7 linked regions of the Macaca fascicularis genome follow. The protein of the gene in region 5 interacts with the protein of the main gene of each other region in a pairwise test. Links are inferred from orthologs where the notes say so. Each region holds a gene or a part of one and is shown on either strand. Other genes may lie near its edges.

Region 1 (4,011 bases), on a different chromosome or scaffold from region 5:
CTGTGATGGGAAAACAAAGATAAAGGCAGAACAGAGTTCAACACATTAGGAACATTTCAGGGGAGGTTACCTAGAAGGTCCACTACATTCTTCTCAGGACTAAATCCCTCCTGACTCTTGTCTGCACCCCAATCCTGGAAAACTCACCGTCACCCCATATTTGAGTGCTAGTCCAGCCAGGGTGTCTCCGGGCTCCAACTGATGCTCCAGGCGTCTTTCCCTCACTGGGGAGCAGGCCGATTGCACCAGGCTTCCATATGAACGAGCCCGGCTCCCGTGAAGCAGTCCTGACCCCCCTGGCGGGGGCTGTCTAGACGGGGAAGCCATCTCTTCACCCTGCCGACAGCTAGGTTGCAACTAGGGGAGGCCCGACCGAGACTGCGAGTGACAGGCCTGAAGTCTGGGAATAGATATTCAGGGGATTCCTTTCCCCTTCTCTCTTCCCCTGTGTCCCCGCCTCCCCAGCACTACGCCACCTGCCCCCTCCCGGTTTCTCCTCCCTCCAACTCCTTATCCACAAATCTGTCCCTTGAGTATTCAGTCCCTCCCTGATTCGCCCCTAAGCACCCCTCCGACTTTGAACTCCCCCACAACTCCTCGCTACATTGACCTCTGACCTTTGAACTCTAGAAATAATCCTCAACACTCTTTCCTCAGTTTGCCCCCAAGTAGCCTGGCCTCAGGGCGCTCCCACATCCCAGCTCTGCCCGGTCCCGGGGTTTGTTTGCTAGAGCCAGGAACAAATCAGGCCCACCCCAGGTGAACTGTCGCCGCAGACGAAGAGCGTGAGGATTGCGAGAATTTGTAGTACACCTTCCACTCAGAGATCCTCACAGGTCCGCTCCGCATCAGATAGGTCACACCCTCAAATTTCGGCTCCACATCTAGGTTCTTGTCCCTCTAAACGCCTCAGATCCACCAAGATGCAAGGGCCTGGATCCAGCTGAGCGGCAAGGTCTTTGAGGAAAAGACTTCATTTCCCAAAAGGCGTCGCGTCTGCAGAGTCGCACGGCACCATAGGAAATGCAGTTCCCTCCACGCGCCAGAGAGTGGATATCCGGATGGCGCAATGCATGCGTGGAAGTGCATTCCCGGAAGTACGGGGGCCGACAGGAAGACAAAGAGAAAAGAGAAGGCGCTGTCCCGCTCTTGCTACGGTGGCCTAGAGGAGTGGCGAAACCGGAACAAGAAAATTTATCACTCTGGGACTCACAGTCGTGATGTCTTTCAAGAGGGAAGGAGACGATTGGAGTCAACTCAATGTGCTCAAAGTAAGCGTGAGCGGAGAGGATCTGCAGCCTCTTCAGTCGCTCTCTGAAGGTTGGGAAGGAGCGTTGTTTCATTGCTCTGGCAACAACTCGGGGGTGCAGGAGAGAACCAGGCGACTTAGAGCTGTGTAGTGACTCCTTTTTCGGTCTATGATCGCTGTTCTCCCCAGGGTCCTTATGTCCTTATTCCGTTTGACTCCTCATTTCTGTCATTTAACTTCCATCCCTCTCTCCTATCCTGCTGATCCGTCCGGATTTCTTCCCCTACTCCCTGCAGAAAAGAAGAGTCGGGGACCTCCTCGCCAGTTACATCCCAGAGGATGAGGCGCTGATGCTTCGGGATGGACGGTAAGAGCGAGGAGTGGCTCAAGCCTGAGGGTTTTGCGGTTAGAGGCTCAATAGCTGTGTTGCCCAGGCTGTCCTTGAACTCTAGGGCTCAAGTGATCCTGCCTCCTCAGCGTCGCGATTAGCTGGGATTACAGGCGCACGCCACCACGCCCGGCTTCAACAAACTTTTGTTATTAATTAGGACAGCAGAAGTATCTAGGATTCTTTGGCGGCTAGTGAGGACTGGAAGAAGTGGAGATTGGGTCACCAGGGAGTTGGGTTTTGCAAAGACTGCTAGGACAGGGTGGGACTTACGGCAGGGACAGGCCCAACCCTCTTCCCCTGGACCAGTTATCCTCTTCTCTACCCCTGCTCAGCTTTGCTTGTGCCATCTGCCCCCATCGACCGGTACTGGACACCCTGGCCATGCTGACTGCCCACCGTGCAGGCAAGAAACATCTGTCCAGTAAGTTCGGGGGAAGACAGGGGATGGGGAATAAATCGAAATCTCTGCACACCAGCCTTGGTGCTATGCTTTTAATTCTGTTTCCCTTTCTCTTCAGGCTTGCAGCTTTTCTATGGCAAGAAGCAGCCGGGAAAGGAAAGGAAGCAGAATCCAAGACATCAGAATGAATTGAGGAGGGAAGAAACCAAAGCTGAGGTAATCAGAGAGTGGAGAGTGTGTTCTAGGCAAGACCCTGCTGCACACACCAGGCTGGAAGGGCAGAGGGCTGAAGGCTCTGACTCTGTCTCCCATCTTCTTACCAGGCTCCTCTGCTAACCCAGACACGACTTATCACCCAGAGTGCTCTGCACAGAGCTCCCCACTATAACAGTTGCTGCCGCCGGAAGTACAGGTATGGGAGGGGAAAGCCAGAGGTAGGAAGGCTCGGAAGGAGATAGAGGGCTCTGAAAGTGTTTTCCAGTCTGTATTCTGAGGAATACTAGCGTTCTGGAGATGTTACTTAGTGTTTCAAGAAAAGGAGAATTTTGGCCGGGCACGGTGGCTCACACCGGTAATCCCAGCACTTTTGGAGGCTTAGGCGGTGGATCACTTGAGATCAGGAGTTCAAGACCAGCCTGGCCAACATGGTGAAACCCCGTCTCTACCAAAAATATAAAAAATTAGCTGGGTGTGTGGTGTGTGCCTGTAATCCCAGCCACTCAAGAGGCTGAGGTGGAAGAATTGCTTGAATCCGGGAGGCAGAGGTTGCTGTGAGCCAGGATCATACCACTTCACTCCAGCCTAGGTGACAGAGTGAGACTCCATCTCAAAAGAAAAAGAAAAGGAGAATTTTGTGATTTTTAAATAAAGTTTGGGAAATGGCACTTTGTAATTCTACTTGAAGAGTAACAGTTTTAGGCCGGGCGCAGTGGCTCAAGCCTGTAATCCCAGCACTTTGGGAGGCCGAGACGGGTGGATCGCGAGGTCAGAAGATCGAGACCATCCTGGCTAACACGGTGAAACCCCGTCTCTACTAAAAAATACAAAAAACTAGCCGGGTGAGGTGGCGGGCGCCTGTATCCCAGCTACTCGGGAGGCTGAGGCAGGAGAATGGCGTAAACCCGGGAGGCGGAGCTTGCAGTGAGCTGAGATCTGGCCACTGCACCCCAGCCTGGGTGACAGAGCAAGACTCCATCTCAGAAAAAAAAAAAAAAAAAAAAAGAGTAACAGTTTTAAAAGCTATACAAAGTCTTAAGAATTAAAAAAAAAACTTGTAAAATTTAAAGCTAGCCTTTCCCAAATTCATGATTCTAAAATCCTTTGTATGCAGAACTTACTAATATCTTGAAAAATATAGTTTAAGAAACACTGTTTTAAGAGGTTGGGAGTCATAGGAGAGTTGGCCCTTTCCCTTACTGCTTTTACAGACTATTCTTCTCTACCTAGACCAGAAGCCCCTGGTCCCTCTGTCTCCCTTTCTCCTGTGCCACCCTCAGAGGTCGAACTCCAAAGCGGGAAGATCAGTAGGGAACCTGAACCTGGGGCTGGCCCACAGGCTGAGGAGTCAGCAACTGTCTCAGCCCCTGCACCCATGAGCCCCACAAGAAGACGAGCCCTGGACCATTATCTCACCCTTCGAAGGTGAGTGTGCCTAATCAGTTTCCTCAGATTTTCTTTTCTCTCTGACCCTTCTTGTTTCAAAGCTTTTTTTTTTTTTTTTTTTTTTTGAGACGGAGTCTCGCTCTGTCACCAGGCTGGAGTGCAGTGGTGTGATCTCATCTCAGCTCACTGCAACCTCCGCCTCCCAGGTTCAAGCGATTCCCCTGCCTCAACCTCTCGAGTAGCTGGGATTACAAGCATGTGCCACCATGCCTGGCTTATTTTTTGTATTTTAGTAGAGGCGGGGTTTCACTACGTTGGTGAGGATGGTCTCAATCTCCTGACCTTGTGATCCACCCACCTCGGCCTCCC
Region 2 (4,199 bases), on a different chromosome or scaffold from region 5:
CGTAGAAGCAATAGTTACTTGTGATGAAGTAATGTAGGTTTGTCTAGCTGTACCACTCAGGGCTGAGAAGTCCTACACACATTACTCTAAAATTGGGGTAACAAAAACAGTACCTAAATGAAGTTATGGCAGGAAATCAGGTGTGAAAACATGAGTCATAAAACAAACAAGCTCTGAGCAGACCACACAGAGGCTACCCTCTCCTCCTCCTGGTCCCACTGCTCCAAACCCATCCAGGCCTTCACTAAGTAGTGCTATTTGTGCTGGCTGCCTTGCAGACAAATCTCCTTTACCTATGTCCAAAGGAAAGTCAAAATGAGAAGTAGGGGCAAGATATTTGTCAAACTAGAATCAGACTCCAAGAAAGTCACATCAGAAAAGTCAAACAACAGACATCCAAATGGTGGTGGCGTTGTTAGTATACACCAGGGGAAGGGTCAGCAAATAACTAAGTCAATTATTACTGAAGCTCTGTGGTCCTCTGTATGGTACTTAAAGCCTCTGACTCTCTTTCCCAATCTATAAAATGGGAATGGAAAACATATCAAACTCACAGTGTTGTTTGGGTTTTAAAGAGACGGTCCATGAAAATTGCCTAGTACAGTGCCTGGTATACAAATGTCCAGAGAATATTAACTATCAATCCTGGATAAATTAAAGTTCAAAGACACACAGAGACAAACAAGATTTGACAGTGCGACTTGCAGAGCCAGGTCTTCTGACTGAAAAGCTCTTTTCTAGTCAGTACAGAAGAGTGACACAGAGCCAACAAAAGTCCTTGAAGGCAGAACCAAACCACATCGTGGTGGGTGGGGAACCCACTGGGAGGCAAGGGCAGGGCATTTGGGTCTGACACTGACACTAGCGGTTATCTCTGTGTTCCTGCTTCTGAGCCTTTCCTTGTCCTTTGAAGCCCCCAGTTCTTTCCATCTCTAGGTGTCTCCGTCAAGGACAGACTTAAGACTCACCAGAAAGCAAGCCAGACTGCTGGTAAAGTTCTAGAGACCTGATCTGGCATCACCGGCTTTGCTCTATTGGCTTTGAGGAAGCCATCAAAGCAAATGAAGACTGGTCGTCTTCACTGCATCTGCTCTGCGTACAGAATCCTTCTCATTCTAACCCACCTTGCTGGCAGTAAGTGCTTAGACAAGCAAACTCAGCTCATCAATACCATGAGGTTCTTTGATGGGCGAAGAGATGTTTCCTTTCCTCAGCTCCCCTTACTTCCTCTCCGCCCCCGACTAAACTCCCATCTTCTCTCGGTACTTCTCTCACCTTGTACTCCTGCACCACCTCCTCCAATGGCACCACGCTGTGCTGTTTGTGGCTCCTGGATTCTCGGCACACCACACAGATGGCCTCTTCGTCTACCTCGCAGAAGAGCTTCAGGGCTTCTTGGTGTTTGGGACAGATGCCCTGATCACTCACACGGCTCCCTCGACCAGGGGTTGGGTGCATCTGCCGAATCACCTGGACCATATTGGCCAGCTGCAGGTTGGGGCGGAAGCTCCGCCGAGGAAAGCTCTTTCGGCACTGGGGGCATGTGAAGCACCTCCGAGGGGCTGGAGGCGGGGGCAGTGGGGTGACGGGGTCTAGATCCTCTTCCTCATCCTCCTCCAGCACTTCCTCCTCGTCCTCCTCATCCTCCCCCCTCAGGTCCTCCTCCATGTCCCCCAGGTAGTAGTCCAGGTCTTCTTCTTCGTCCTCCTCCTCCCACACATAGTCCATGTTGTCCCAGCTGGACCTGCTCATGCCACTGGTCCAGAACACACCCTCTTCTTCCTCCTCGACCTCCTCCTCCATGTCACCCTCGTAGTCTTCATCCCGCATGGGGGTGTCCCACCCCGCGCCAGCCCCCACAGCCTCCACTTCCTCCTCCTCTCCGTCCTCCTCCTCCTCCTCCCGATCTAACTCATCTCTGTCCTCCTCATCCTCCCCACCCCACAACTGGGTTACACAAACTCGGCAGAAGTTGTGCCCGCAGCCGATGGACACGGGGTCCGTGAAGTAATCGAGGCAGATGGCGCACACCGCCTCCTCCTGAAGGGTCTGCACAGGGTTGGGTGTCATGGCAACGGCAGCCATCTTAGTGTCCAGCCAGCCAGTGTAGAGGTGCGGTGGGGGGGCGAGGGGCGGGGGTCTTCCCCACCGACGCCCTGGCGACCCGGCTCCACCCCCAGCCCTGCCCCTCCACACCTCGCCCCAAGGGCAGCCAGAGAGATGTCCTCCCGCCAACCCACCCCGCCACACAGTGTTCCCTACTCCCAAACGACAACCGCGTCTCTGCGAGGGGAGGGGACAGTGCTGGGCACCACCGCCAAGTCCCTCAGGTGGCTCTGAGTGCAAATCTGCCCCTATGCTCCTTGGACTCCTCATAAACCCCCGCCCCTCCTCACTTCCTGGCCCCGCCCCTAGCTTCCGGCCTCCTTCCCAATACTTCCGGCGTCTACACACCACCTAAGCTCTCGACTTCCCTCCGCTGTCGTGCTACTCCCCCTTTTTCCCCCGCGGGGCCCCAGGGCGACAGGAAATGGCAAGGAGACGCTCTAGCCCGCACTACAGAACAGGGCGGTAGGGCTAGGACGGTGGAGGCCCACGTCTCTGTGGTGCGGGACCGCGGCGAACGCAGAAAGAACAGAGGAACCGCCTACCCCCATCCCCCGCCGCTGGGGAGAAACTTCGGGGGGTGGGGGGAGCGCTTGGTGGCCGTCTGCTTTCGGTGCTATGACCGCATCGGCCAGGCGCCATCCTACCCTCCCGACACAGCCGACTGCAGCCGGTACGCCGCACCGCCAATGCCGGAAGCGAGGGGGTGGGTCCGCGGAGCGCCCTGAAGTACTTCCGGCCCTTCTAGGCAGAAGACTTTGTTGTGGAGGACTCAGAGGGTCGTACGGCTCGGACCGGGGGCGGGGCCTGAGAAAGCGCTTGGCCGATCGGGCCGCAGACGCCCAACCCTTCCCCAACTGTAGTCGGCGTTCCGCATCCAAGGTGGAAACTGCCAACCGGACACAGTCTCATGGTTTAGATGAACTTCCCTAACTGCCCAGCAGTAAAGAAGTGGTGACGAATCATTACATCTACATTCGCACAGCATCTCCGCAAAAATAGATGCTTTGTGCAGTAGAAATAATACTTGGTGCTTAAATAGCTCTTTAAAATTTATTTTTATAGAGATTTGATGTCGATACATAATAAAAAACAAATAAATGTTGTTTGATGCGAGGAAAATGACGAGGCAATGATTTATGTACAGAATCTCCAGTGAGTGCCAGACACGGCGTGACGCCAGGGCTGGGCCTACAGGACCTACTTACCCTGCTCTCGGAGAGGCGGCTCGCGGGAAAACTCCAGGGGGACGTCGTGCTTCCTAGAGGGGTCTGGTCAGGCCTCTGAGGATGTCAGATCAAACGCGCCAAAAACCACGAACACTCGTGGGTGAACTATGCTCGGCCATTACAGGAGCTGCGGACCCGGCTGCGGTAGACAAGTCTGGCTCCAGAACCTGGACACCACTTAGCCGGCCGCGGCAGGGGTCCCTGGGTCTGTCCCACGAGGGCGAGGGCCTAGCGCCTTCCTGGCCTTCGCAGCCACGTGTATCTTCAGGACGATGCTGGAGAAACGTTAGCTCAGGCGGTTTCCGTAGTGTAGTGGTTATCACGTTCGCCTCACACGCGAAAGGTCCCCGGTTCGAAACCGGGCGGAAACACGTTTTTTTGGGGCCTGTTCAGGAGAATTTCTCTCCCGAGGCCAGGTTACCGGGTTGGAAGGACATGTGTGGCCTGCGCTTCGGAGGAACACGAACTCATACCACGTCCTTAATAAATTCTCGCAGTGTAAATTCAGGTTTTACACCTCACCTAATCTCTTGCTCTTCCCTTCTGAAGCCTATGCAGCCATCACATGCAAAGGAATCCGTAGATTTCAGATCCTCGGCCCTAGTACCTAGAACAGAGCCAGACGCAGGCGCTTCTTAGTACTTGTACATTGGAAACGTGCCTACACCTCTGCGGGCAACCTCCGTCTTCAGAGACAAAGTTATAATGTTGGCCAAGCTGCCCGGCTAGCTCAGTCGGTAGAGCATGAGACTCTTAATCTCAGGGTCGTGGGTTCGAGCCCCACGTTGGGCGGAGTTCCTTTTGGAAAGGGTAAGGCAAGCCGTGTTACCTAAGTGCACGAACGGTATCTTCTGGACCAAGATC
Region 3 (3,957 bases), on a different chromosome or scaffold from region 5:
CTTCGTTGCTCAATGGTTCCATCTTTGGCAACTGGGAGCTCTTTCAGGTGGTTCCTGTGTTTAAACATTCTCCCATCAAGACAGGATTCGTTTATTTTTATTTTTTATTTTTTTTCTTCTCATTCAATTGAGGCAGCGTCTCATTCTGTCGCCCAGGCTGGAGTGCAGTGGCGCGATCTCGGCTCACTGCATCCTTGACCTCCCGGCCTCAAGTGATCCTCCCACCTTAGCCTCCCGCGTAGCTGGGCTCACAGCGCGTGCCACCACGCCCAGTTAATTTTTTTTTATTTTTTGTAGAGATAGGCTTTCACCATATTGCTCTGGCTGGTCTCAAATTCCTGGGCTCAAGAGATCCGCCCCCTTCGGCCTCCCAAAGTGTTAGGATTACGGGCATGAGCTACCGCGCCCGGCCCGATTTTTCCTTTCTTGAGTATCACTTCCTTACTTTTCAGCCTCAGCCTTGTTTTTCAAGGTGCTTTACCATCACCTGACACAATCCACACTTTATGTTTATCTCTCCCCGTTAAAGTGCCGGGACCTGGAGGGAGGGTCTTGGCAGTGTTTTTGAGCGCGGTGTTATCCTGGGAATACAAGGGGCCGCTCAGTTGATATCCAGGGAATGATGAGCCTGGCGGGTGTTGAGGCCGACTGGAGATGGGTTGGCCAGCCGGGTTCTGGGAAGGCTGTGCTCGGCCTCTGTGTGACCGCAGGCTCCTCGCCCGCCTCCTCGAGGGTCCGGCGGATGCAGGACCTGCTGCAGCCTCCGCAGCCACACCCACGCTCAGAGACCGCTTCCAGCGTCCTTGCCGCAGAAACGCACCGGACTGCAAATGTCACCGGCGCAGCGGGGATTCCCGGGGAAAGTCCATCGCACTCCCTGATCTGGGGACCAGAGGATGAGCGGAGGAAGTGTCTTGGGCGGCTAACATCCCACTCCCTGCGCCGGTCCGCGCCGCCCCCGGGAACGCCCCGGGGCTCGCGGGAGGGGCTGGAGCGAGTCCCCGGCTCCGGGCGGTCCCGAGCGCACGGACTCCGGGTGGGGCGGGAACCCGTGCTCTGTGAGCCGGCTGCTGCCGCGCCCCGGCGCTGTCATCCCGGGGCGGGGCCTGGTCCCCAGCTGTGGTAGCTTCCTAAGCGGCGGGGGCTGAGCCGGCGGCGCCCAGATGCGGCCGCGGCGGCGCGGAGCTCGGGCGGCTGTGGAGGAGCCCAGCCTCGGCCGCAGGAGGCGCCGGGAGCAGAGCCGCCGGGAGTCGCGCAACAGGTTTCCTTCCCCATCGCGGCGCCCACAGGGGACGCGCGCCCTGCGGGGAGAGAGGCTTCTCAGTTCGCGCTCTTGTTCCGGGTCCAGGTTTGTTTTTCTCTCCCTGAGCCCCCATTTCTCTTTCTGACCCCCCATTTCTCTTCCTGACCCCCCATTTCTCTTCCTGACTATTCCCCGTGCGCTGAGAGATCCGGGAGGCGGGCGGGGGCACTGTCTGGGCTCGGGACCCGCGGCTGCACCTTAGTTGGGATTTTGGATCTGGCGCAGGTCCTCACGCCGCCTCTGGGCACCTTCGGAAACACAGGATTGGGTTCCTCATATAAAGCGGAATGATTTTTAAAAATTACTTTTAATTTCAGAGGCTGAGGGATTTAGGATTTAGTGCTTCACAGGAGTTATTTTAGGGATACCTGTCGGTAGGCTGCCTTTTAAAAGTGTCCACCTAAGACTAATTTTATTTTAAATCGAAAGACTGAAGTGTTTTTGTGTTATCACCTCTTCACTTCCTATTAGGGTGACTGTGTCAAAAACACCAGAATGGGTACTTCTTGACTTGAACTTGGCAGTGTCACTCAGTAGCCAAGAAAGACGGAGAAATTGATAGAGCCTTGGAGCAGTCCCTTCGCAGCCCACGTAAGACTTTGTTTTAGAAAAATGGAGAGAAGTAGTGGCAATGCCTGCGAGAACCACGCCGTCCTGAGAGGGAATTCTGCCTTTTTCTAGACTCCGCTGACACCAGCTGAGATCTGTATTACTTCCTGTGGTTCTCACGCGCTTGTTTCAGCCGTTTCTCAGCAAAGGGAGGAGCTGTTATTTACAGGTATCCAAAAATGAGTCACAGGGCTGCTCTCTTAATTGTGAGACTTTGTTAATGAACTTTTGAAAAGCGAGGCTTGCTCTGTCTGTATTTAAAATGAGACTGTAGATGTGAAATGCCTGCCCTGCTGACCTGGGGCAGTGGTATGGGAAGTGACGATTGAGTTTTCAGTTTCCTAAGGCGCCTGATGTTACAACATGCCAGTAAAGGTCACTGGGTTGATTTAAGATAACCATTAAAATCATGTGCTTTGCCTCAGAAGCCCGGGAGAAAATTAATTTCATTATTCAATGACCATTTTGCTACCATTTTCACTGAATAGTAGAAATGTATCATTTAATGTGGTGACTGTAAGTAACTCTCTAAAATCAAAATATTTCAGACAGTGTGTGTTTACTAAATTGATGCCAAAACCACATGGTGCTTTTTGAAGCGGGTGGGTACCCGCGGGAGCAGAGAAATTTAAAAGTTGAAGCTGACAGGCCCCACTGTGGTGGGTAGCAGCACCTAGGAAGGGACTGCACACTATCTCAACACGGTAGAGAAGGGAGCACCATCTCTACTGGAGCTGAGTTGAGCTGAATTCAGTCCCAAACAACAGTTAACAGGTACTTTCTCTGTGCCAGCCTCTTCCCTGAACCTTGCTTGTACAACCATGAATAATAGGATCCCGCTGACAAGGTGCTAGGGTAAATCTATACCCAGAGTGAAGTTTCTGTCCCAATATAACTCAATCTGCTGGGTTCCAGTGTATTTAAAGAGTAAACTCAGCAGATTACCATCCCTAGATCATTGCAGTCACCTTTAGTTAGCAGCGTGACTTTTAGGAAATGGTATGACTAATTAATAGGTTGTTTTGTTTTGTTTTTTGAGACAGAGTCTTACTCTCTTGCCCCAGACGGGAGTGTAGTGGTGCAATCTTGGCTCACTGCAACCTCCTCCTCCTGCGTTCAAGCAATTCTCGTGTTTCAGCCTTCCAAGTAGCTGGGACTACAGGCACCCACAACACCCAGCTGACTTTTGTATTTTTAGTAGGGACAAGTTTGGCCCTGTTGACCAGGCTGGTCTCGAACTACTGACCTCAGGTGATCTGCTTGCCTTGGCCTCCCAAAGTGCTGGTATTGCAGATGTGAGCCACCATGCCCTGCCTAATACTTTATAAATTTGTAACACTATATTGAAGCAAGTTTTTGATCATTGTTTTTGTAGTTCAAATCAATGTTTTTTAGCACATTATAGCCTTGTGAGCCAAAATGAATAAATCTACCATATCACAGTTTACTGTTACAATTGAAATCTGCTGAGACACTTTTGAACTTGATGCCCAAGTATCAAGGTTTCCAAGTTTCCACAGTTTGCTAAGATATCCAACTAATAAAGGCAACACTGCTAAATTTCAGACAACTTTACCTTAATTTCCAAACTTTATTCCTCCTTTGAGAGCCCTGAAGTTACTTTTTCTATGAGAAAGGGTTGAGTGTGTCATTCAGCATTGTACTCCCTGAACTTGTCCCAGGCTCGACTCATGAGAAGTGTTGGAAAGTGTTTATTGATGAAATAATGAACCTTCATGTAGGAGGATGAATTGGCAGGCAAGTGGAAGGCTCGGTGACCCAGCAGAAGGAACAGCACCCATAGAGAAGTGAAACAGCACTGGACATTCAGGAAACTCCAGCCTGTTTAGTGACAGCACAGAGCGAGGGCTGGGGAGACAGGAAGGGCCAGATCACAAAGGCCCCATGAGGGTTTATAGTACTGAGCCCTTTGAACAAGTGAATGATATTGTCAGGTGTGTGTTTAAAAAATTATAACAAAAATTGGAATTTAAAAAATCTTAGATTAGATGACAGTGGCATTGACTTTAGGGAGACACCTTGGA
Region 4 (2,771 bases), on a different chromosome or scaffold from region 5:
AGTGAGCCGAGATCGCGCCACTGTACTCCAGCCTGGGTAAGCGAGACTCTGTCTCAAAAAAAAAAAAAAAATCAGAAAGGACAAGAAAAACAGTTGACTGTGTTAGGAGGCAAGGCTGCACATTCTATTTCCTCTGGGGCAGTGCTTATTTTCCAAGGAAGAATTTTGGGGGTGCTATACTGGATGTCTCCCTTCTCAGGGAGAGTCATCACTTGCTCCAAAATGCTGGACTTCAGCTCAAGGGCACCACTGCAGGAGGAATAACAAGGTGGAGACACACAACAAATGGTCTGTGTCCCGCAGTAGGCTCTTTTTGAGGGACTTCCAGAAATGACAGCACGTGTGCAAACAGAGAACAGAAAGCAAAGTTACATAGTTACAGAAGGCACAGAAGGAAAACCTTCGGCTACTGCTATCAATGGAATTTCTCTGTAGCCAGACTGAGGTCTGGTGGCATTTGAGATACCATATAGATCCTACAGATATACATTTCCAGACTGTTCATTCAACAAGTCTTTATTGAGCACCTACTCTGTGCCCAGCACTGCACTAGGTGCCATCAGAATACAAGAGTAGTATAAGATGTTATCCGCCCTCCAGGAGCTTACAAAACTAGAGGCAGAAATAAGATGTACATGTGACTCAGGCAGCATGTGGCACACACAAAGTGGGCAGCTCTGAGACAATGGTGGTCAAGAGACCACTGAGACCCGGAACAGTCTCTTACAACAGGGTGGAGGACTTAAAACTTGGATGAACAGGGACTGGCAGAGCATTTGGAATAGGTAAGGTCAAGACTGGGAGATCAATTTGGCTGGAGCAAGGGAGCTTGTGTTAAACTGTGGCCATGAGGGGCGCCTGGACAGAGGCTGGGTCCGTGGGCAATGAGGAGACACGTTACTCCCTCTCTTGACATGAAGACCTGGTGGACTTGTGGCCTCCTGCTGCCTTCCTTTCCCTGTCTTCCCATCTCCACTCTCTCCTAGCAAAGTGGAACCTGGAGGCTGAGTAGGGCCAGGGACAGTGGATTAACACCCTGCTGGGGAACGTGGTCAGAACTCCCCAGGCAGGGGAGGTTCTGTTCCACTGGATATTTGTCTTGGTGTTTTTGGATGTGCTAATCAAGAGCAAGATGTTCTGGATTCTTAAAACTCCCCCCACAAGGACCAATCCAGAGATAATTTATTGATCAGTGATCACAGCTGGTACCCCAAAGCCGTGTATGTCTGGATCCTTCTCTAAGACCACAGATAGCTCCACGGAGTCCCACATCCTTGGCTATGGAAATATGCTCAGCCCTGGTTTCAGAGAAGCCTGGACTCCACTCTGGACCCCATGAGATGATATGCGCTGGTACTCCAGGCCTTAAATGGCTTGGGAAGCCTCAGTGGATTTTCATTGTTTATTTTCAGCATTGCCGTGTATGCTTAACTCTGAGATGGGGTGGGGTCGGTCTGTTTAAAACGCCAGGGAAGGCGGGCACCAGAGTGGATTTGTGCAAGAAGGAACCTGTAGGGTTTAAGGACAGCAAAATGATCTTAGGCATAATCAACTGTTTTTTCCAAGGTCTTGCCACGGTGGGCAAGAAAATGCTGTGTCAGGCCCTTACTCCACAGAGAGTGCAGAGCCGGGGCCAAGGTAGTGGTCAAAAAGGAAAGGAGCCCTCATGGGCTCCAGGGTCAGAAGTTCCCTCGGGACACCAGCAGGAGGTGGGAGAAGAGCCCCATTAGGGCAGTAGATGGAGCAACAGCACTGAGTGAGACCTCAGGGGGCCAGAGCGACGGGGAGGTGGCTGCCAGTGGATATGGGGTCCCCTGCTCCAGGTGCTCAGGCCAGGCATCCCTTCCCCCCATTGAGAGTCCTGGAATTCCAAAGAAGTGAAGCATCTGAGGGTGTGGGGCCAGGGGCAGATGTCAGGGTTCAGGGTCTCAGCAGGAGGCGCGTTCCTGGCCACTTGAGCCACAGGAAGGGGACCAGGCGCCGGGTGAAGGTGGCAGTGAAGGTGTAGATGAGTTCCTGTGACTCTGCGTTGGTGAAAGTCACAGTGCCCCCTTCATAATCCAGGGCGATGCCCACTCTCCGGGGCCGCAGTGCTGGGAAAAGCTCGGCCTCGGGGCTGGTGTTGGCCCAGATGCCGGAAGAGGAGAGGCGCAGTGCCCACACGCCATCCTCTGGCCGCAGGGAGAGGTCTCCCTTCCTCTTCATAGAGTCTCTGGCCACCCCTACCATGCAGCTTTCCAGAACTTCCTCCTCTTCCTCCTCCTCTTCTTCCTCTTCATCGCCCAACGATTCCTCATCTTCGTCTGTTTCCCAGTCATCGTATCCATCCCCATAGCCGGCCTCCTCTTCCTCTTCCTCCTCTTCTCCTTCTTCCTCCTCATCCCCATCTTCTTCATCCTCAGACCAGCCCTCCCTCTCCACTTCCACTTCCCAGTAGACCTTGCCCCAGGTGAAGCCCTTGCTGCCCAGCACCCCAGGCTCACAGTCAAACTGCTGGGGGTGCAGGTAGGCACTCTTGTACAAGCTGGTGTAGGTCACGCACTTCCAGTCCTCTGACAGCTGCAGGTACCCACTGGCCGACTGTGGGTCCAGGGTGACACTCACTGTGGGGACAAGGGGAAAAAAAAACAAACAACATCACTGTTTTGTTTTTTTAAGTTAGAGGGAATAAAATTTATTTTGGCAGACAGTGTTAAACAAAATTAAAGTTGCATATATTAGTAACGTAACATCCTTAATTTGGTATAAGTGTGACACATTTTCTGGCTTTG
Region 5 (3,500 bases):
GATCATAGAAAGATACAAGATTAGGAGCCCTGGAATGCGTGTTCTCGCGGTGCACACGGAGTGGGGGAGGAGCCAGGCCAGGGCTAGGGACCTAAAGTGCTTCCAGTCTCCATCCGCAGCCCCAGCAGGCCCCTTGCCCCTCTCCCGGGCTGGCTGGGACGCTGGGTGTGGGCGTCTCTCCCTCCTGCTCTTTCCCTCCCACCTGCCTCGTTTCTTTCCTGCCCTCAGCTGTCTCTTGCTCTCTCCCCCCTTTGTCTGTCTCTACCACTCCCTTATCTCTTTGTCTCCATGCCCCCCCATCCTTCCCTGCCCTCATCTCCCGCTCCCTCTCTCTCTCCCCCATACAGTACTATGAGATGTCCTACGGTTTGAACATCGAGATGCACAAACAGGTACGCCCATCTCCTCCTCCTCCTCCTTCTCCTTTCCCCCTCCTCCCCCTCTGCCCCCCGCCTCCAGCACCCCCTTGGGCACCCCCAGGCAGGTAGCAGCCGGCCTTTGGCTGGGCACCCAGCCAGCCCTGTTATCCTGTTACCTCCTAAGCCCTTCCCAAGCTCCCACTCTCCTCCCCACCGCCTCTTTCTCAGGCCTCCCTTGGAGTGTTTTCTGGGGGTGGCGGGAGAGGCGGAGACCTTCCCCACAACCTGTGGCCCCCAGCCCTCCCTACATTCCCACGAGCGCTCACTATCTGCCAGGGGCCTGAGTGGCCCAGCCCTGAGGAATGTAGCCGAGGAATGTGCAGTCTGGCCTCATCCTGCATTTACTGCACTCCAAGCTGCAGGCGACAGCCGGTCTCCAGCCCCACCTTTGCCACTGACTGGCTGCCCTTGGGCCCGAACACGGGTTTGCTCATCCCACCCTGGCCAGACCTAGCCCCTCTTAGAGAGAAGCCGCAAGTGGCAGGGCTGGGCTGGGCCCCGTGCGGGCCTCCTGGGGCTGGCCTGCACCTGCCACCCATCCAGGACTGACGCTGACTTCATCTGTGTGTTCCAGGCGGAGATTGTCAAAAGGCTGAACGGGATTTGTGCCCAGGTCCTGCCCTACCTCTCCCAAGAGGTAAGAGCCAGGGCCTCAGGGAGGGGGTGCCAGGGGGCCCTCCCCTTGCCCAGCCCCTGTCTGCTGCAACCATCTTGGGGGGCGTGCTGGGTGCCCCAGGGCACATGCCTCCCCTCTCTGGACCTCCCCGGCTCTGGGCACCAGAGCTGGCCTATGCAGAAGAATCCCTGGGCCAGAGACACTCCAGGGGTACAGGGGTGTGGGGGCCGGGCCTCACCCTGCTCTGGAATTCCCAGCTAGAGTGAGTCATGTCATAGGTAGAAATGTCGGATGGGCCAAAACTGCACCAGGAATGTTTTTTTCTCATCTCTTCCTCCTTTCACCCTCTTGAGAACATCCTTCAGGCCCTGCGGGTGGCACAGAACCAAAGACTAGAGGGTGTGTTGCGGGGATGGGGTAGCACAGGGCGGTCCCCCATGGACACAGCCACATAGATAGGTATGAGCACATCAACATACGGGAGATACACACACAGACGCAGACACACACGGATACACGGCGTGTGCAGACAGCACAGGGCCACACACGCAGGAATGTGCAGCTACACGTAAGCACATGTGATCCTGAGCACACACTACCACATGCACACACACCCAGAGGAACCTGATGCCCAGCTTCTCTTCTCCTTTCTTGGGTTCTGAGGCTCAGGATGCAAGGCTGCCCCTCCCCAGGGCCATGTAAGGCCCATCTCCTGTCCCTGCCAAGTTTACTGTCAAAAATTTGTAATTTCCTCTTTAATCGCTGTATCTCAGGATCCTTTGGGTGCCCTGCTTTGCCCAGGGACAAGTCTAGAAGGACCCAATGAAAGCCCTAGAGAAAAGGGCAATTGGAACTCTTCAGAACGGAGGCTTCCTGGTGGCCAAAGCAAAAAGGGAGATTGATAGATTCTAGCATCTGCTGGCCACAGAGTCAGGTGTTTGGGGAGAGCTGGGGGAGGAACTGCCCTGAACCTAGGCCCATTCCCCAGCTGGCTCTGCCAGAATTCATTGGGCCCTCTCCAGCCATGGTAGGAGAAGGGCTCAATTTGGCCGGACTCAGGGCACAGTCTTGGAGCTCCTAGGATCAGGACATCCCTGTACAGTTGGGCAGGTTGTGTACTGCACAAATATTCACGTCTTTCACGTCTTTGTACATGGCTGCGGACATAGGATAGGTCAGGATCCGGGGTTTCTCCCAGACTCACTCAAAGGCCGTTTTCTAACTACTTGGCACAAAACCCTTTTAATCGTTTTCTGCACTTTTCCATTTATCTCCATTGGCCAGATGAAGAGACGAGCTTGGTGAAAGGAAGCAGTTGGAGAGAGGGAAGGCGCTTTCTGATGGGGTTGAAAACCACTGGGAGGAGCAGACATGATGGCCCCCTTGGTAGCGGGGCTCCTCCTGGCCCCAGGGTAGCCACCGCCTCCTCTCTCAGTCAGGATCAGGAGGAATCACTGCCTCTCCTCTCTCCTCACCCCCTTCCAGCACCAGCAGCAGGTCTTGGGAGCCATCGAGAGGGCCAAGCAGGTCACCGCTCCTGAGTTGAACTCTATCATCCGAGTACGTATGGGGACCTGGGCGGGTGGGCGGGGGACAGGTGGGCCCTAGGCAGCTAACGTTCCCCTCCCCCGTCCTGCAGCAGCAGCTCCAAGCCCACCAGCTGTCCCAGCTGCAGGCCCTGGCCCTGCCCTTGACCCCACTGCCTGTGGGGCTGCAGCCGCCTTCGCTGCCGGCGGTCAGTGCAGGCACCGGCCTGCTCTCGCTGTCCGCGCTGGGTTCCCAGGCCCACCTCTCCAAGGAAGACAAGAACGGGCACGACGGTGACACCCACCAGGAGGATGACGGCGAGAAGTCGGATTAGCAGGGGGCCGGGACGGGGAGGGTGGGAGGGGGGACAGAGGGGAGACAGAGGCACGGAGAGAAAGAATGTTTAGCACAAGACACAGTGGAGCTCGGGATTGGCTAAACTCCCATAGTATTTATGGCGGCTGCCTGCGGAGGCCCCAGTCCGACTTGCAGGCCACCTCTAGCTTTCTTCCTACCCCAGTCCCGGCCTCCCTCCTCCTCCCCTGCAGCCTGGATAGGTGGATACCTGCCCTGACATGTGAGGCAAGCTGAGGCCTGGAGGGTCAGATGGGAGACCAGGTCCCAAGGGAGCAAGACCTCGAGAAGCCCAGAACCCCTGGCCATTCCCCTGTTTTGAACACGTGTAACTGACAGTCTGCCCGGGCCCCTCGGGGCACACGCCACTGCGCTCTCACCCTGGTACTGCATGCACGCAATGCTAGCTGCCCCTTTCCCATCCTGGGCACCCCGAGTCTCCCCCGACCCGGGGTCCCAGGTCTGCTCCCACCTCCACTTCCTGCCCCACTCACCACCTCTGCTAGTTCCAGACGCCTCCACGCCCACCTGGTCCTCTCCCATTGCCCACAAAAGAGGGGGCACGAGGGACGAGCTTAGCTGTG
Region 6 (4,189 bases), on a different chromosome or scaffold from region 5:
CATGCTGTTATCTTTAATTAGGCTCTCTATTTCTATATCTTTTCCACATATTCTATCCATGATCCTCAAGACATTAGGTATGACCATCTTCCTATTTTTAATGAGGAAACTGGCAGAAGCATTTGCTGGGTTTTTGCAATTTTCATCATACGAGCCTTGGAGAGGAAGGCAGAGAATGAAATGAGGGAGTGGGTAGAATAATTCTCCCCAGTCAGTACAGTATTATTTGGAAGAAGTGAGACTAGAAGGTTAGGTGACTCCGATTATCTGGAAGTCTGTTGAAACGAATGATGAAACTTCAGTGGTTTCGCTAGATTGTGCAATTTACCATGATACCTAGTGGCTATTCAGGGAACCACATGAAATGCAGGAAAAACTCCTGCTGTATCCTGCCAGGATCACACCACACACCAAGTGACAAGGAAGCAAAGAAACAGGAAAACACTGGGGCATACCCACGATTTCTTCTCCAATGAAAGAGGGCTAAGAAGACCAACTGTAAAACACCCACAAGGCAAATTATAGGTGCCTTGGCATTTTAAAAGGGAGTAGGGAAATCTCCCAGAACCCAGAGACTCTCAAGCTAAAATGCCACAGGAATATCTTATCATTTCACTAATACGTATTCATGCCAGGTGGCACACTGCATTTCAAATGAAAAGTCTGACCTTTTAGGAAAGATAAAACTGCATCTCCCCCAATGAAGGTGCATAAGCAGTTTGTTGCAGTAATGTTTATTCCATCAGATGTTGAGCCCACAGGCTCTCTATTTGTGCTCAAACTCTTAAAAAGAGGAGAGCCAGAATCAGCACTCACCAGCTTGTAAACCGCTCTGCAGGGCAATGATTTTCTGCTGCTGCTGATCAATTAGGTTTGTTAGTGCTTTCACATGCTTCAAGGTAAGTTCAAGAACCACTGCTTTTTCCAAGTGACCCAAAGTCTAGAAGGAAAAGAGCCTTAGTCAGCGGTGAGGTCAAAGAAGTCCCACCTTTGGGATATTTCTTAGCAAAGAGAAATGTCTCTAAAAGAAAAAAAAAAAAGTGGATAGTCTTTCTTCGTTGGCTGTTCTAACACACATATATATAAAATATATATGATTAAATAATTTAAAAAAGGGTGCCATCTCTCTTTGGAGGCATTTTGGAAGCTGCAACTACCTCAGGAAAACGCTTTGACAGATAAATTTCTCCAGCAGCCTCTGCTGACCTTAACTCAGGGGAATCCAGAGATAACATTTTTCTGCAGGGGTGTCAACTCAGAGAGGGACCTCTATTATGTCTGGCAGCCAATAGGCTTTCCCTACTTCTTTCCTTACACCCTTTCAGAACTTCCAGCTCATTCAGGCTTTTTTGTTCCTCCCAAAATACTTTTTTTTTTTTTCCATTTCCCCAACCAAAGGCTGCCAAGTAGCTGAGGGCTACTGTCAAGAAAGGACAGGCCGTAAAAATCACACACCAAAGCAAGTCCACTTATTTAACAACAAAAAAAAAGGTGGGGGGAGTGGTGGAGGGAAAGGGGTAAATGTGTGTGTTGCTTGGCGTGTTCCTTTAAGTTAGAAAAACTAGGGAATCCTGAAAATCACCAGAAGTTAAACTCTTGAAAAGGAAGGCCAGTTGGTGTTGTAGCCAACTTGGAGAGGTCCAAGCGGTTCTCGCCTCATTTGCATGAGTCAGCCAGAAAACGCAAGGACTGTGGAGGAGGACCACACCACAGAGCCACCCGCCAGCTCTGATCCGCCCGTCTGGTCTGCAGTTCCCCGCGGAACCTGCAGGCGGCGAGTGACCCCCGCCCGCCCTCTGGGCAAAGGACTGGGTTGGAAAGGGGCCAGCTTCTCACTTACTGTAAGTTTGAGATGTTCTGGTAGGAGATCCTTCAGCTGGGCGATGCACTCGTTAATCCGGTCACGTCTCTTTTTCTCGATGAGCCGGTGCGGCAATTTGTAGGTCTCCTGCAAGACGCACGGGGAGGCGGTGGGCGCTTGGGAAAGGAGATGAGAAGCCTATCCTCCCAGCCCCGCAGCACGAGTCCGGCAGAGGAGCAGAATAGCACCCAGAACCATCATCTGCCCCTTCTTTTCCAAGTCACTCAGAAGAGGCACCGAGCCCACACCCTGCATACCCTCGCCAACCTCAAAGCGAGAAAACTTTTCTTGGAAACTCAGCGCGCGCGAGGGGCTGAGCGCAGGGTCCCCAGGGGTGCACTTGCTTACCTTGCTGTCCTCGCTCCGCTTTATTCCCCGTCTTGACTTGTACACTTGGTACATGTGGGCAAAATCCATCCTGCAGGAAGAGAGACCAGGAAGGGTCGTGACTGCTTGCGCACGGCTGCAGGCGTTCTGCCGGGCAAGAACCCCCCGGTGCGCCCGGAGCTGCTCCAAGTTGAGAGTGGCGCATAACATGGGGCTGGAGTTGAGGCTTGAAGGGCCAAGGAGTGCCAACTTACCCTGGTAGGTCTCCGTGCTCCAGTCCCGGTGCTTTGGGCAGGCAGGCGGGGGGTGGTTGCGCGCTGGGGATCCGCTCCATGGTGCGGCGAGCCGGGGCCACTGCGCGCTCCTGTCTGCTCTAGCGGAGCGTCTGGATGAGGACTGTCCTGGAGCGGGCTTCGGGGGTCTCTCCGCAGATGTTCCTCTGAGTCTGAGCTCTTTGAAATCCCCTGGGCTGCTGGAATCTTCGGCTTTGAGATGCAGCTTCAGTTGGGGGCGTGCATGGCCCGGTGTCCCCGCGGCCTCTGGCTCCAACTCAGCGCACAGACTGGCGGTGTGTGCTCCCTGCGCGGTCTGCGCCGTGCGAGCCAAGTGAATGAGAAGTGGGGCGGGCGGGGAGGCGGGAGGGAGCGGGTGGGGGGGGGCGGTTAGGGCGGAGTAGGGGGGGTGGGGGCACAAGCCGAGGAGTAATGGAGAGGCTGCGGGCTGGGTTAAATGGGAGCGAGTGGGTGGGTTGGAGCTACGTGTTCTACCCTGTGACTCCAGGCACGTCTGGCCACTGCCGGGGAGGGAAGGAGCGACCTGCCCGCCCTCCCCCGGCTTCATCACATGAGTCTCACGTGTTGGACAACGCTCCGGCGGCTGCTAGGGAGCCCCCACCCCCAGCCCCGGCCCCCAGGTGTCTGCGGCTGCGGCCGCCTTTCCCCGAAGAGGGGGTGGCAGCGCAACCTGGGTCCTGCCCAGTTGGGTGGGGGGCGCGGAAGCTGAAAGGGACGGGGCTGCTGGGGGAGGGGGAGAGTTGGTAACGTGGGCGAACCTGCCCCAGGGAAATGAAGTAAGTTCCCGTCTCCTGGGAGGGAACGGGGGAGGACGGATCCGCCCGCGTCTGACTCAAGCCGGGAGAGGAATATCCCCTTGCTAGCTCCAGCCCAGCCCTCTTCCTCCTCCCCCGCCCGGCCCGCTTGGAGGAACCGGCGCTCAGCGGAGGGAGTCGCCCGGCCCCCCAGCCTTCCCCAGAGGCTGGGGTTTCTTTCCGTCCTGGCTTCCCTGCCCCCACTGCTCACCCTCGCGTCCAGGAATTGCCCGCCTTGGGGAGGGACCGAGGGGCGGGGCGGATGTCACCCCATGGGAAGCGGGCAGACAGCCAAGCGCAGGGGCAGCTGAGGCTGCCGCCGAGCACGCCGCGCGCACCTGACCGAGGAGGGTGTGAGCCGAGGGCCCCTCGCTCCCCAGGAGCTCCGCTCCCGGGCACAGCCTGCGGGCGGGCGGGCACCTGGTTGCGCAGCCCCCTGGGTGCCCCAGTGTCACCCCCTTCCTCCCGGCCAGTCAAGCACAGAAAGATACCGGGCACGGTGCCCGGTGTTCCCTCCCTCCTCTGCCCCCTCCAGAGCAGAGGCGCCCGGGTCGCCTCCCCTCCGGCTGCAGCGTTACACAACCGCGGCGGCGGCGCCTGCCCTGCAGCAGCGCAGGGCGTGACGCTTCACGTGGCCGGGGCTCAGGTCGCAGCGCCGCGGACCGCGAGCCCCTCTGCGTTGACCCAGGGACTGAGACCCCGGGGACGTGGTGTGCCAACCCGGATCGGCCCTCTCCCTGCCTGTTGGGAACTTCGGCGGCGCTGTTTGCGGTCTGCACCCAGGGCAGGAGGGATGAGAGAGACAAGAAATAAAACCGCCTGTTACACAGTAAAATCTTAGCAATCATGCAGTCGACACATATTTGTTGAGCCCCCTACTCTGTGCTAGGCGCTGTGTTTGTTGATGAATCCGA
Region 7 (3,500 bases), on a different chromosome or scaffold from region 5:
TTTTTTTCATTATTTATATGTAAAAATCCAACTTTAGGGTGGTGTTTCGGGGGGTGAGATAGGAAAATGATGACTGGAGTGAAAACTATAGCACATCGAGCTACTAGTTGCAGTATTTACTATCTGATACTTCAGTACAAATAATGGCAATTGACTTGAAATGATTTTGCATTTATTTGTACAGGCCCTACAACTGCCTTGGCATTTGGCTGGCAAAATCTACATAAGCAGTCCCATCACATTCAGTTGTTGCTCTTCGCAAATACTCTGCTCGAACCAAAGTTGGACTTCAGTGGATTCATCTGACAGCAAGGGAAGAGCAGTGACAAGAATCCCTGGGTGCAGCCAGGCTCCATTTTGTTGGACTGCAATGACTTTTAATTAAATCCTACTTTTTATGGCATGAACTACACATGGCCCACACTTCTGAAATGCTAAAGGCCTCCACCTCGTTTCATGGAGGGGTGAAAAATACCTTGTAAAATCATCAGTTTCATTTCCTGATCGGGAAAGGATGGAATGTTGAAGAAATAAGCTAATTCTATTTGTCTGAAAAATGGCCAAATATATTCAATGAAAACAATGATTGTTTTGCTCGAAATATCAACAGGAAAAACAAAAATCACTAAGTAGCAAACGTTAATGGAACCAACTGACCAGGGAGAAAGGACATCTGGGAGCAGTTTGCTAGTAGCTTCCATGTTATACATGCACACCTCTATTACACAGGGCCACCTGATCCATCCAATAATCATCATATTAGACATTTAAAAATATAATTTCTGAGCCCTATACTTGGTTAAGTTGTCATTTGAAGTGCAAAGTCAAGGTCAAGATTATTTCTAGACCAGTCACTTGGGAGGATGTGGGATTTCATCCCCAGATGTGGGTTTAACTCACAATGGTCCAACGTTATTCCTATTAGTACCATAATCACACACATACATACACACAAAAATCCAAGATCAGAAAATATTTTTCTCTAAATTTCTTATGTCTCTCTCTCTCTTTTCACCTGAGAACAGCACCTACAGTTTCCATTAAAAAAAAAGTCAAATCTCACCAGCTGCTGGTATTTCAGGTTTTTCAGGGATTGTCTAAGATTTAACACTGTCCTAACTTAAGAAGGAACAGGAAAAAGTAAAGGGAAAAAATGAACTTGGTCAACACTTCAGTACAAATTTGGCACTTGCTCAAAGATGTAGTGTGGTGTGCAATAGATAAAGAAAGTCCTCTAAAGAAAATAATTGCTTATTTTGTGGTGGATAGCAAGGAAGTTAAAAACAGGCTCTTTTTCCCTCTTCCCCCTCATGCACAGACTTCCATCTTTAAAGTATAGAGATGGAGAAGGTGGAGAGAAGTAAAGAGAAATTCATTTTTCTTTTTTTTCTGTCAGGTGCATTACAAAGAAAAAAAAATGAAAGGAAAGAAAAAGAAAAGGAAAAAACCCAGAAACCCCAAAAAACAAAACAAAACTTATTTCTTTTTAAAAATTGTAGCACAAAACAACAAAACACATTCACAAGCCACTTGTTGGCACTGTGTACCTGAGTGAGAATTTCTAGAACATTGTAGAACAAACAGCCATAAAGTTTATTTAAAAAAAAAAAAAAGTTGACGGGTAAGACTTCAGTGCTTGGATGTAGCAGCTGAATTACTGGCATTATTTTACCCATAGCTTATTTCAATCTCTTGTTGTTGATATTGTTGTTTGCTTGTTGTATTTTTTTTTCTTTCCAAGCCTTTTGAGGCTGAGGTCTATTAGTCAGCTGATGTCCCAACTATTTAAGACTAACAGTTAAAGTAACAGTCAGTGTATGAGAAAGTTAATGTGCTTGGCCACTGGTAAGGATGAACCAGTTAGGGCTTCTTTAAGTCCTAAGGTCACAACAATCTTTTGACCCTTATCAGTTGGCTTGTCCTGCAATATGGTTTTCACTGTCACTCCCATAATCTACATCTGGATCATCCTCTTCCTCGTCGTACTCATCATAAATTTCTCCATTGATGTCCTCGGCCTGTATCTCTTCTTTGATATGTGGCTCCTCTCCTTTCACACCATAAGTGCTCTGGATAACAGGCATCCCAGGCTCTGGGCTGCTAGACACGCTTGAGTGCTCCGAGGGCAGGTGAGGGGAGGGCATTCCAGCCATGGCGATGGCTCCCGGGTACACAACACCGGCAGTGGCAATGGGGATCTGTGCTTGTTGCCTGTCAAGAAAGGAATTCCCAAAAAGATATCATGGGTGAGTGAATAGTTAGATGTGGACTTTATTACATAATTAATTTGCTCAGCAATGTCCAATTCTAAGGTACTAATTTTATCTAATTGCCCAACATTTTTCAGACTGTATCCTACTTTGACTTTAATACCTTGTTGTTTTTTTTGTTTTTGTTTTTGTGTTTTTTTGAGATGGAGTTTTGCTTTTGTTGCCCACGCTGGAATGCAATGGCATGACCTTGGCTCACTGCAACCTCTGCCTCCCGGGTTCAAGCGATTCTCCTGCCTCAGCCTCCCAAGTAGCTGGAATTACAGGCATCTGCCTCCACACCTGGCTAATTTTTGTCTTTTTAGTAGAGACGGGGTTTCACCATGTTGGCCAGGCTGGTCTCGAACTCCTGACCTCAGGTGATCTGCCTGCCTCAGCCTCCCAAAGTGTTGGGATTATAGGCGTGAGCCACTGCGCCCGGCCTAATACCGTACTTCTATGGAGTGCTTCATAGAGTACAAGACATTTACATGTGTTGTCCCATCTTATTCTTAATCCTGTTTTGTTACTACTGTTTTATTAAAAAACTGAGGTGCAGAAAGTTGAAGCAGAAGAACCCAGGTCATTAATTCCAAGTTCAGTTTTCCTTCACTATAACATACAGAAATAGCATTTTTCCCCAGAATTAAATGTAAAGATAATTAAATTTTAATGGGAAAATCCTAAAACATTAGAGTTCTCAAAATAAAACTTTACTGCCCAGAACACAGCAGAGCTGAACAAATTCACACTATCCACTGAGTCTCTGAAACAGTTTTGGCCTTGTAGTGGTAGGAGGCAGGACCAGCTTCATGGATGTACAAACTGTGCAGCTATGCTAAGGTCTCATACTTGATTTCAAGTTGTGCTGCCACAGACTTGAAATTCTTAATAACTTTTTAACAAGAGACCCTGTCTCCTCATTTTTGCACCTAGTCCTATAAATAACGTAGGTGGTCCTATTGGAAGGGATGAAGAGATGATGTTCATTTATGCTTTTATTCATTCATATGTTTAGTATTTGCCCAAGAACTGTTGGGCTCTGTGTTTAGCTTTGTAAGGAGTCACATGCTTGCAATATCACAGAGCCCTGGACAGAGCATGCAGCCTATTCCAAGGAACTGGAGGGGACAGAGCAGATTTAAAAAGGTTTTTATGAGTTTTTCTCTGCCCACATTTAGAACAATATTTATTATTCTAAGAAGCTCTTAGAAACTAACTTCTGTTTCAAACATGAACAACTTTATTTTG

The links.
Region 1: the proteins of TLE5 (region 5) and SCNM1 interact in binary tests that used the Homo sapiens proteins (3 or more experiments, as listed by UniProt). The two-hybrid records come from large-scale screens. The link is inferred for Macaca fascicularis from reciprocal best matches to the Homo sapiens genes TLE5 and SCNM1.
Region 2: the proteins of TLE5 (region 5) and TRIM41 interact in binary tests that used the Homo sapiens proteins (3 or more experiments, as listed by UniProt). The two-hybrid records come from large-scale screens. The link is inferred for Macaca fascicularis from reciprocal best matches to the Homo sapiens genes TLE5 and TRIM41.
Region 3: the proteins of TLE5 (region 5) and STX11 interact in binary tests that used the Homo sapiens proteins (3 or more experiments, as listed by UniProt). The two-hybrid records come from large-scale screens. The link is inferred for Macaca fascicularis from reciprocal best matches to the Homo sapiens genes TLE5 and STX11.
Region 4: the proteins of TLE5 (region 5) and TRIM26 interact in binary tests that used the Homo sapiens proteins (3 or more experiments, as listed by UniProt). The two-hybrid records come from large-scale screens. The link is inferred for Macaca fascicularis from reciprocal best matches to the Homo sapiens genes TLE5 and TRIM26.
Region 6: the proteins of TLE5 (region 5) and BHLHE40 interact in binary tests that used the Homo sapiens proteins (3 or more experiments, as listed by UniProt). The two-hybrid records come from large-scale screens. The link is inferred for Macaca fascicularis from reciprocal best matches to the Homo sapiens genes TLE5 and BHLHE40.
Region 7: the proteins of TLE5 (region 5) and SOX5 interact in binary tests that used the Homo sapiens proteins (3 or more experiments, as listed by UniProt). The two-hybrid records come from large-scale screens. The link is inferred for Macaca fascicularis from reciprocal best matches to the Homo sapiens genes TLE5 and SOX5.

What each region holds. Positions count from the first base shown.
Region 1 is NC_088375.1:110,052,990-110,057,000, reverse strand, and holds the start of SCNM1 (sodium channel modifier 1), read left to right. Parts: upstream 1-1,211; 5' UTR 1,212-1,220; coding exon 1,221-1,271; exon of another isoform or gene 1,272-1,320; intron 1,321-1,545; coding exon 1,546-1,616; intron 1,617-1,972; coding exon 1,973-2,061; intron 2,062-2,158; coding exon 2,159-2,256; intron 2,257-2,363; coding exon 2,364-2,452; intron 2,453-3,467; exon of another isoform or gene 3,468-3,486; coding exon 3,487-3,681; intron 3,682-4,011. Other genes in the region: LYSMD1 (lysM and putative peptidoglycan-binding domain-containing protein 1), read right to left, coding at 148-327. UniProt on the Homo sapiens protein: As a component of the minor spliceosome, involved in the splicing of U12-type introns in pre-mRNAs. Plays a role in the regulation of primary cilia length and Hedgehog signaling.
Region 2 is NC_088380.1:188,317,466-188,321,664, reverse strand, and holds the start of TRIM41 (E3 ubiquitin-protein ligase TRIM41), read right to left. Parts: upstream 2,801-4,199; 5' UTR 2,377-2,800; coding exon 1,276-2,376; intron 1-1,275.
Region 3 is NC_088378.1:48,361,255-48,365,211, forward strand, and holds the start of STX11 (syntaxin-11), read left to right. Parts: upstream 1-1,157; 5' UTR 1,158-1,348; intron 1,349-1,774; 5' UTR 1,775-2,081; intron 2,082-3,957. UniProt on the Homo sapiens protein: SNARE that acts to regulate protein transport between late endosomes and the trans-Golgi network.
Region 4 is NC_088378.1:142,476,630-142,479,400, reverse strand, and holds the end of TRIM26 (tripartite motif-containing protein 26), read right to left. Parts: exon of another isoform or gene 2,644-2,771; intron 2,604-2,643; coding exon 1,921-2,603; 3' UTR 501-1,920; downstream 1-500.
Region 5 is NC_088393.1:3,755,860-3,759,359, reverse strand, and holds part of TLE5 (TLE family member 5), read left to right. Parts: intron 1-347; coding exon 348-392; intron 393-993; coding exon 994-1,056; intron 1,057-2,520; coding exon 2,521-2,595; intron 2,596-2,674; coding exon 2,675-2,896; 3' UTR 2,897-3,500. UniProt on the Homo sapiens protein: Transcriptional corepressor. Acts as a dominant repressor towards other family members. Inhibits NF-kappa-B-regulated gene expression. May be required for the initiation and maintenance of the differentiated state.
Region 6 is NC_088376.1:143,199,272-143,203,460, reverse strand, and holds the start of BHLHE40 (class E basic helix-loop-helix protein 40), read right to left. Parts: upstream 2,801-4,189; 5' UTR 2,523-2,800; coding exon 2,443-2,522; intron 2,280-2,442; coding exon 2,210-2,279; intron 1,949-2,209; coding exon 1,841-1,948; intron 941-1,840; coding exon 817-940; intron 1-816. UniProt on the Homo sapiens protein: Transcriptional repressor involved in the regulation of the circadian rhythm by negatively regulating the activity of the clock genes and clock-controlled genes.
Region 7 is NC_088385.1:26,250,571-26,254,070, forward strand, and holds part of SOX5 (transcription factor SOX-5), read right to left. Parts: intron 2,212-3,500; coding exon 1,908-2,211; 3' UTR 1-1,907.